Callithrix jacchus: one gene and its partner. The protein of the gene in region 1 purifies or fractionates together with the protein of each later gene. This does not show direct contact. Links are inferred from orthologs where the notes say so. Each region holds a gene or a part of one and is shown in the gene's direction. Other genes may lie near its edges.

The links.
Region 2: the proteins of MTMR4 (region 1) and DNAJC10 purify together in Homo sapiens (affinity purification with mass spectrometry; 3 studies listed by BioGRID and IntAct, counting the BioPlex papers as one, with this or other methods). This does not show direct contact. The link is inferred for Callithrix jacchus from reciprocal best matches to the Homo sapiens genes MTMR4 and DNAJC10.

What each region holds. Positions count from the first base shown.
Region 1 is NC_133506.1:72,646,768-72,650,381, forward strand, and holds the end of MTMR4 (phosphatidylinositol-3,5-bisphosphate 3-phosphatase MTMR4), read left to right. Parts: intron 1-523; coding exon 524-701; 3' UTR 702-2,799; downstream 2,800-3,614. UniProt on the Homo sapiens protein: Lipid phosphatase that specifically dephosphorylates the D-3 position of phosphatidylinositol 3-phosphate and phosphatidylinositol 3,5-bisphosphate, generating phosphatidylinositol and phosphatidylinositol 5-phosphate.
Region 2 is NC_133507.1:46,275,405-46,279,230, reverse strand, and holds part of DNAJC10 (dnaJ homolog subfamily C member 10), read left to right. Parts: intron 1-286; coding exon 287-414; intron 415-731; coding exon 732-848; intron 849-3,209; coding exon 3,210-3,311; intron 3,312-3,826. UniProt on the Homo sapiens protein: Endoplasmic reticulum disulfide reductase involved both in the correct folding of proteins and degradation of misfolded proteins.

The sequences.
Region 1 (3,614 bases):
CCCAGCACTTTGGGAGGCCAAGGCGGGTGGATCACAAGGTCAAGAGATTGAGACCATCCTGGCCAACATGGTGAAACCCTGTCTCTACTAAAACACAAAAATTAGCTGGGCGTGGTGGTGCGTGCCTGTAGCCCCAGCTACTTAGGAGGCTAAGGCAGGAGAATTGCTTGAACCTGGGAGGTGGAGGTTGCAGTGAGCTGAGATCACACCACTGCACTCTAGCCTGGCACTTAGCGACAAAGCGAGACTCTGTCTAAAAAAAAAAAAGAAAAAGAAAAAGAAACTGTCCCCAACTTTTCACTTACTATCATTCTCAGTATATTGGCATTTCTTAATATTAATTAATTAATTTTTTATTAGAGATGGGGTTTCGCTATGTTGCTCAGGCTAGTCTCAAACTCCTGGCCTCAAGCAATTCTACTGCCTTAGCCTACCAAAGTGCAGGAATTACCGGTGTGAGTCACTGTGCCTGGCCAGTATATCGGCATTTCTGATGAACTCTTCCCTCTTTGTGCTTTGGCAGAAATTGTGGGAATGTATTTTGTGCTGCATGCTGCCACCAGAAGCTGCCCATTCCTGATCAGCAACTCTATGACCCAGTTCTCGTCTGTAACTCATGTTTCGAACACATTCAAGTCTCTCGTGCCAGGGAACTCATGAGCCAACATCTGAAGAAACCCATCGCGACAGCTTCCAGCTGAATGCCAGGGAGATAACCTGTCCAATTTTAGCAGGTTGAAGGGAGGATCTGCTTCAGTTGTAGTTTGGAAGGTTCCTTGGTGTGGCTCATGAAAACACAGAGCTCAAAGATACCATCTTGAGAAATCCTCCTTGGTATCATGAAACTGGAGCAGAGGAATTCCAATTTGGCAGGAGGTCCTCTTCTGGTGAGACCCCTCACCTTGGGGTAATGGTCCTAATCCAGACCCAGGGTCTGGAAGCTTCATGTTGAGTTGGTGACTCCAGCTGCTTTCTCCTGGAGGTCACAAGATAATGATTGCATAGATGTTGCCTGGTGCAAAGTGCCCCAAACAGCAATAGAAAGGCATATGTATAACCAAACTCCAAGTGATAACCAGACCCATCTCTCCTCCACCTTGACAAAAGCAGATTATAGTATATAAGATTGGAATTCCTGTCCTATTTGAGATGAACTATATCCTGTACCTCTGTGCTCTGTGTCTGTGTATGAAGGCTCAGTCTTTAGAGGCACTCCCTCTAGTTGCATTAGTACTGTCTTTCTGTGGAGTTTGAAGACTGGTTCAGCAAGTGGAGGTTTCAATGTATTTTTCAGTTGGCTCATCAGCCAGCATCGGTAAATATTCAGTTTAGGGGGACAGTTCTAGGGAGTGAGACATTTTTGGGAGCAGAGGAAAACTGCTGATATTTGGTCCTGGCAAACATTGAATTATTTTGAGCTATGAAGGCAGCCGTCTCTGTTACACAGTGGCAGCTCTTGCGTTATGCACTGTGAAGAATGAGAAGGGAAAAGCAAAAATTATCCTTGTGAAATATCTGCTGACTGTTCCCTACCCTTTGCACCTGACTTTTCCTAGTTGTCCTGGTGCTAACACAGGAGCTACACCTTGATCCTCTCCTGGCATGAAAATAAAGGTTTTTGTTGTTGTTTCATTGCCCACTCCCTGATGTTGTCTTTCCCTTGGCTGCTGCCTCCTCTGGGTCACACTGCTTCTTATCCTGAACACTTGACACCTCAAGGGTAGAATTTAGCGTTTGGTTTTTACCTCCTAGCATATGCTGTTTGGTATGTGAGGGTTTCAGTACAAATGCTGCTGTCTATTAATGTGCACTTAACAATGGAACCCAAACAGAAGAGAATAAAGCCTTGATACCAAAATTGGGAGAGAACATGTGTCCATTTGGACCAAACGTTGTTGGTTTTTTAAAAAAAATTATTTTGTTTTTTTCATCTTAATATGTACCAGTGGCACTTAACCAAAAGATACAGTGATATAGCCATGTACTGTGGGCAGGACAGATACAGTCTCCGTGGCCTATAATGAAATCACTAGAACTTTATACATTTTCCTTAATTTGTTGACATATAAATGGTAAATTACATTTAGGCTTATCCTGTTTTGAAATGATGATAGTCATCTTTCTCACTGCTACTTTCATGTTGCTTTCTAGAAAACAGCATTTCATTCCAAAATAACTAGGATCTGCATTTAGAACAAGAATCATTATTTGTCCTGACCTTTTCAGTCCTACAGAGAAGCATCTGTGGTTCTTTTGTACTTGACATAGATGTAACCTAAAAAGTTTTGGGGTATTTGGGTCAGCCTAGCAGAACTTTTTTTTTTTTTTGTTCATTTAAATGGAGCTGTATAATGGAGATTTTGTGTCTGCAAAATTCCTGAGATCATTGAAAAAATAACAAGCTATTCCTTGTTTCTGATACATAAAATTATTTTAAGCATTTTCTTAGTCATTAAAATTTACTGCCAGTTGTGAGTGGCTTTTTAATTAACCTGACTTTCATTGCACTTCACTCTGCTTGTTTTCAAGGGGAGTAAGATTGGTAACATTTGGGGAGACTATATCTGTCTACTTAGTGCGGCTGTTTTGAGGGACTGTCTCATCAGTGAACAAACTGCATGGCCTTGGAGAGACTCTGGGCTCTTGGCTCAGATGTGTTCATCAAATACTCCTTTCAGAGCTGTTGTGGGTGTAAGTGATATGATGTGGCCAAAAATCCAAACCGTGCAGTTGCGTTGTGACAAACATGCAATGTGCTGTAAAAATTCAATACAGTTTAAATAAAATCTCTATATTAGTGCTGCTTTGTTGAGTCTTTTATTTTCATTTCTAAGAAAACTTAATTTTCACTCTTTGACCATGAGAAGAGTAGAACATTGTACCCCTTTCTACCAGCAATTTCCTATTTATTTATTTAGAGACAGAGTCTCACTCTGTCACCCAGTCTGGAGTGCAGTGGTGCGATCTCGGCTCGCTGTAGCCTCCGTCTTCTGGATTTACGCGATTCTCCTGCCTCAGCCTCCTGAGTAGCTGGGACTACAGGTGCGTTACCACACTGGCTAATTTTTGCATTTTTAGTAGAGATGGGGGTTCACCATACTGGTCTGGCTGGTCTCGAACTCTTGGGCTCAAGCAGTCCACCCAGCTCAGCCTCCCCAAGTGTTTGGATTACAGGCGGGAGCCAGTGTGCCCTGCCAATTTCCATTTTCAAATGAACCTCTATTTTTTAATCAGCACAGCTCTGGTTATATTCTTATTTATTGATTGGCTAGGGATCGATTATTATGGTTACCGTAGAATTCTATCCCATCTTTATTTCTCTTTAATGTCTAAAATGCCACCAGCTGGTTGAGCAGGCACACAAAATACTACTTAGATTCTCGTGATTTCCTCCTCCCAAGGACCTCAGTTCTCATCTAACTTTGAGTAATTGTTTTGAGCAAAATGCTGACCGAAGAGAGTGTATCTTAAAAGATTTAAGATGCTACTATCTAACAGGTGAATTCGTTTACTCAAGATACATATACCTCCAGCAGCATCATTTTTGTTTGGAGAGATGAGCAGTGCCACGGTTTATTACAGGCCAGGCCCTTTGGTCCCCAGAATGACCGACT
Region 2 (3,826 bases), on another chromosome or scaffold:
ACATTTTTCCAATCCAGTCTATTATCAATGGGCATTTTGGTTGATTCCAGGTCTTTGCTATTGAGATTTTGACATTTTTAACTAGTCCAAGAAACAGAAGAGTTTGCAAAAAAAGGGTACTCCTATCAGAGCAAAGCCCTGTATAGTGTATAGAACACTAAATCCTGACCAAAATCAATTTATTCATAATTGATATTAATATTTTGAGTATAGAAAACTTTGAACTGTTTCTGTGCCTACAAAAAAGCAGAATTTGGATTTTAATTTCTCTTATTCCCTTTGAAAGGAAAGAAGATTCTGTATGATATACTTGCCTTTGCCAAAGAAAGTGTGAATTCTCACGTTACCACACTTGGACCTCAAAATTTTCCTGCCAGTGACAAAGAACCATGGCTTGTTGATTTCTTTGCCCCTGTAAGTTATTTTTATCTGTCAAATTCTAGCATTTTCAGATTTTCTCTTATTATGGCAAAAAGACATTTTCTAAATAACTTTGAATTATTATTACTAGAACTGTGTCATTCCATTATGGCCACCATTGCATATTGCTTCTAAAATCCAAGGAAAGTTTACCACTAAATACAGTTTGTGTTACATAGCATATTACTTGTTGCGGAAATGTTGGGATGTTTTTGTGTGTGTGTGTTTGTGTGTGTGTGTGTGTGTGTCTGTGTGTGTGTGTGTGTGTGTGTCATTTGGCTCAGTGCTTATGAATACTTTTTCTTTCCTAGTGGTGTCCACCATGTCGAGCTTTACTACCAGAGTTACGAAGAGCATCAAATCTTCTTTATGGTCAGCTTAAGTTTGGTACACTAGATTGTACAGTTCATGAGGGACTCTGTAATATGGTAAGGCAAAGTATCAAAAATTCTAATTAATTTTTTTAAATGGAGACCTTTTGGCTGTTTAATGTTAAAGCAATAAAATAAGAAATAATACATCTTCTGTTTAGAGTAGTAACAAATTATTTAAACAAATAATTTTTTTAGAAAATATCAGATATGATTGGATTAAACCATAAATAGCTAATCAGTGGATTGAATGTAAATAAGATCTTATAAACTCAAGCAACTGTTTTCATTAACTTAATGAAATGCTTATATTATTTTCTAATTATTTAAAAGCTTTATATTTCTTTAATATTTTTGACATTTTATAATTTTTTTCCTTTGGCTTTTCTTATACTTCTAAGTATATTTGCTAGAAGGAAATTAAAACAGTTAACAAGCCTTGTGAAATCTTTGTGTAAATGAAAATATTTTCTCAGGTAAATATTCACTTCTCAGTTGCAAAAAGAACTAGAAATTATATACTGTGGAATGAAAGTACATAATATCACCTACGAAATATTCTTGGCCAAAAAAAAAAGCCTATGGTAGATCTATCTCCAGATCTATTACTCTATAAGAAATTGAATGACAGAGGAGCATATTAAGTGACACCATGGGTATGAAATGTGCACATCCTAGTATGTGGAGAACTTTACAGGACAAACACCCAGTTTATTGGCTAAATACATTGTCTGTAGTGGAGGAGAGAGTAAAGAGACTTAGAAGACTCTCAGTCAGATACAGCGTTTAGACTTTGGATGCAATTTAAACAAATCAAGTGCAAAGAAAGAGATAACTGGGGAAATGTGAACACTGCAAGATATCTGATGATTTCAGGTAACTATTGTTAATTTTTGACAACGAAAATGATATTGTGGTTATATGGAGGAGAGTCCTTACATTTTAAATATACTGAAATATTTGTGGATGAAATGATAGATCATCTGAATTTTGCTTTAAAATAATCTTGGGAGTAGACTAGAAAGGAAGTGTAAGTGAAATACAAGTAGTCATGAGTCCGTGATTATTGTAGTTATATGAATATGTGAGTTTGTTGCTCTCTACTTTCGTGAATGTTTTAAATAACTGATAAAAACCAAAATGTTTTTTTAAAAAAACATGGAGGGAGAAAAGATAAAAGGAAAAAAGAAATGGGAAGAGGAAGGAAAACAAAAGAAAGCCGTATGTTTTTAGAACATCATAGAAGTTTAAGCCAGCAGCAGTGGCACGTGCCTGTAGAAATTTCATTTAAATAAATTTTTATAAAAGGAAATAAATAAGGCTTTTGGTTTTGAATGTCTTCTATGTAACTTTGAAAGAAATGCCAACCAAAGATACAAAATTGATGTGATAATAATTATCTTAATTGGAAATCCTTTAGTTTTTCTACTTTTAATCTTAGCTCATTAAACATGTGAGTTCAGTGTAAGGGTTTAAAACTATGATACCAGATTTACCTGGAAAGAGAGGCCAGAATTCACTACTCACTATTTAGTTGCCACTCACCAATTGGTTGAAGTTACTTAGCCTCTCAGTAATTCATTTCCTAATCTATATGGTGGGTTTTATAATTTTAGCAACAAAGTAGAATTGTTTTGAAGATTAAATGAGAAACTACATGTTAAATGCCAAAATAGTGCCCAACACATACTAAGCACTTACTAAATTTTAGCTATAATTGCTTTGTTATGTTTCTTTTGTTTTTTTGAAAATTATTTTTAAATCCTTGTCTAAGCTTCTAATTTGCTAATGAGTACTTACAACTTCAAGAGTGCAAAGTTCAGCTACAGTAAATCCATAGATCTCTGTGTAACTAAAAACATAAAAAAGCTTTAGAGAGATGCTTCCTGGGCTGGTGCCCATTTTAATTATCGGAAGGAAATTAAGTATTTCTACTATAAAGGCTGTCTTGAAGAAAGAATAAAAAGTGATTACCTTCCTAGAGCATGATTCATAATTCTTTAACCTAAAGCATAATCATGTATCCCCTAATTATTTGTGTCTTTATTCTTGCTGTTTCCTGATCATCCACTTCTAGAAATAGTATTTATTGTGGTTTAAAAAAAGACTCAAGCTAGAGATAAAGCCTTGTTATAGACTCTTCTTATCTTGGTTCAGGAGAGTAAAAATGGGACCATTCATGTAATTACCCATGCTGGTTTCTCAATGTTTTGATGCCCTGTGGTTTTCATGGCTAATGGAGCGGCTGTAAATAAGGATCAGGTATTTATCAGTATTCATTGCCATGAGACTAAAATTATTGTCACCAGCAATTTAGCAATGGGTTTTTAAAATCTTGTTAAAGACAAACTTGTTATAAATTTGTAACAAATAGGTGAAATCTATAAAATCTTTAATTTACATTCTCCTTTTTATCAGTATAACATTCAGGCTTATCCAACAACAGTGGTATTCAACCAGTCCAACATTCATGAGTATGAAGGACATCACTCTGCTGAACAGATCTTGGAGTTCATAGAGGTATTTCAAATTATAGACTGTGTGGCTAGAAATTTTTTAGTTTATATGTACATTCTTATTTCATACTGTTTAATAGGATATATTTTTTTCATGCCAAATCTATTTTGACAAAATGATTTTTATTTTTCTAATGTTTTACTCTTATTATATACTTGTCTGTAAACTCAAAATAAATCTGTGTTTTATTTGTTACTTGCTATGTATAGTGCCTTACAAACAATGGACACAGTTATGTATTAGACATTTGCAGTATACTTTCACATAAAGCCTTGTTACCCCTTTGTCCTGTTTCCTCCAAAAACAAGTGTCCGGCATCTACAGCATCCTTTTTTTTTCTCAGCAACACTCTTGATTGACTAAAATACTTACAGGGATCTCCTAGAAAAAAAATGAAAAATGCTGGTTTGTTATTATCCATTTAATGACCCTCCGACCCTGTCCTACTCATCTGTTTCTCCTCCTCTAACGTACTGTTTTGTGTTGTTTTCCCAGCAAGCCACTTCATTAGTATTACC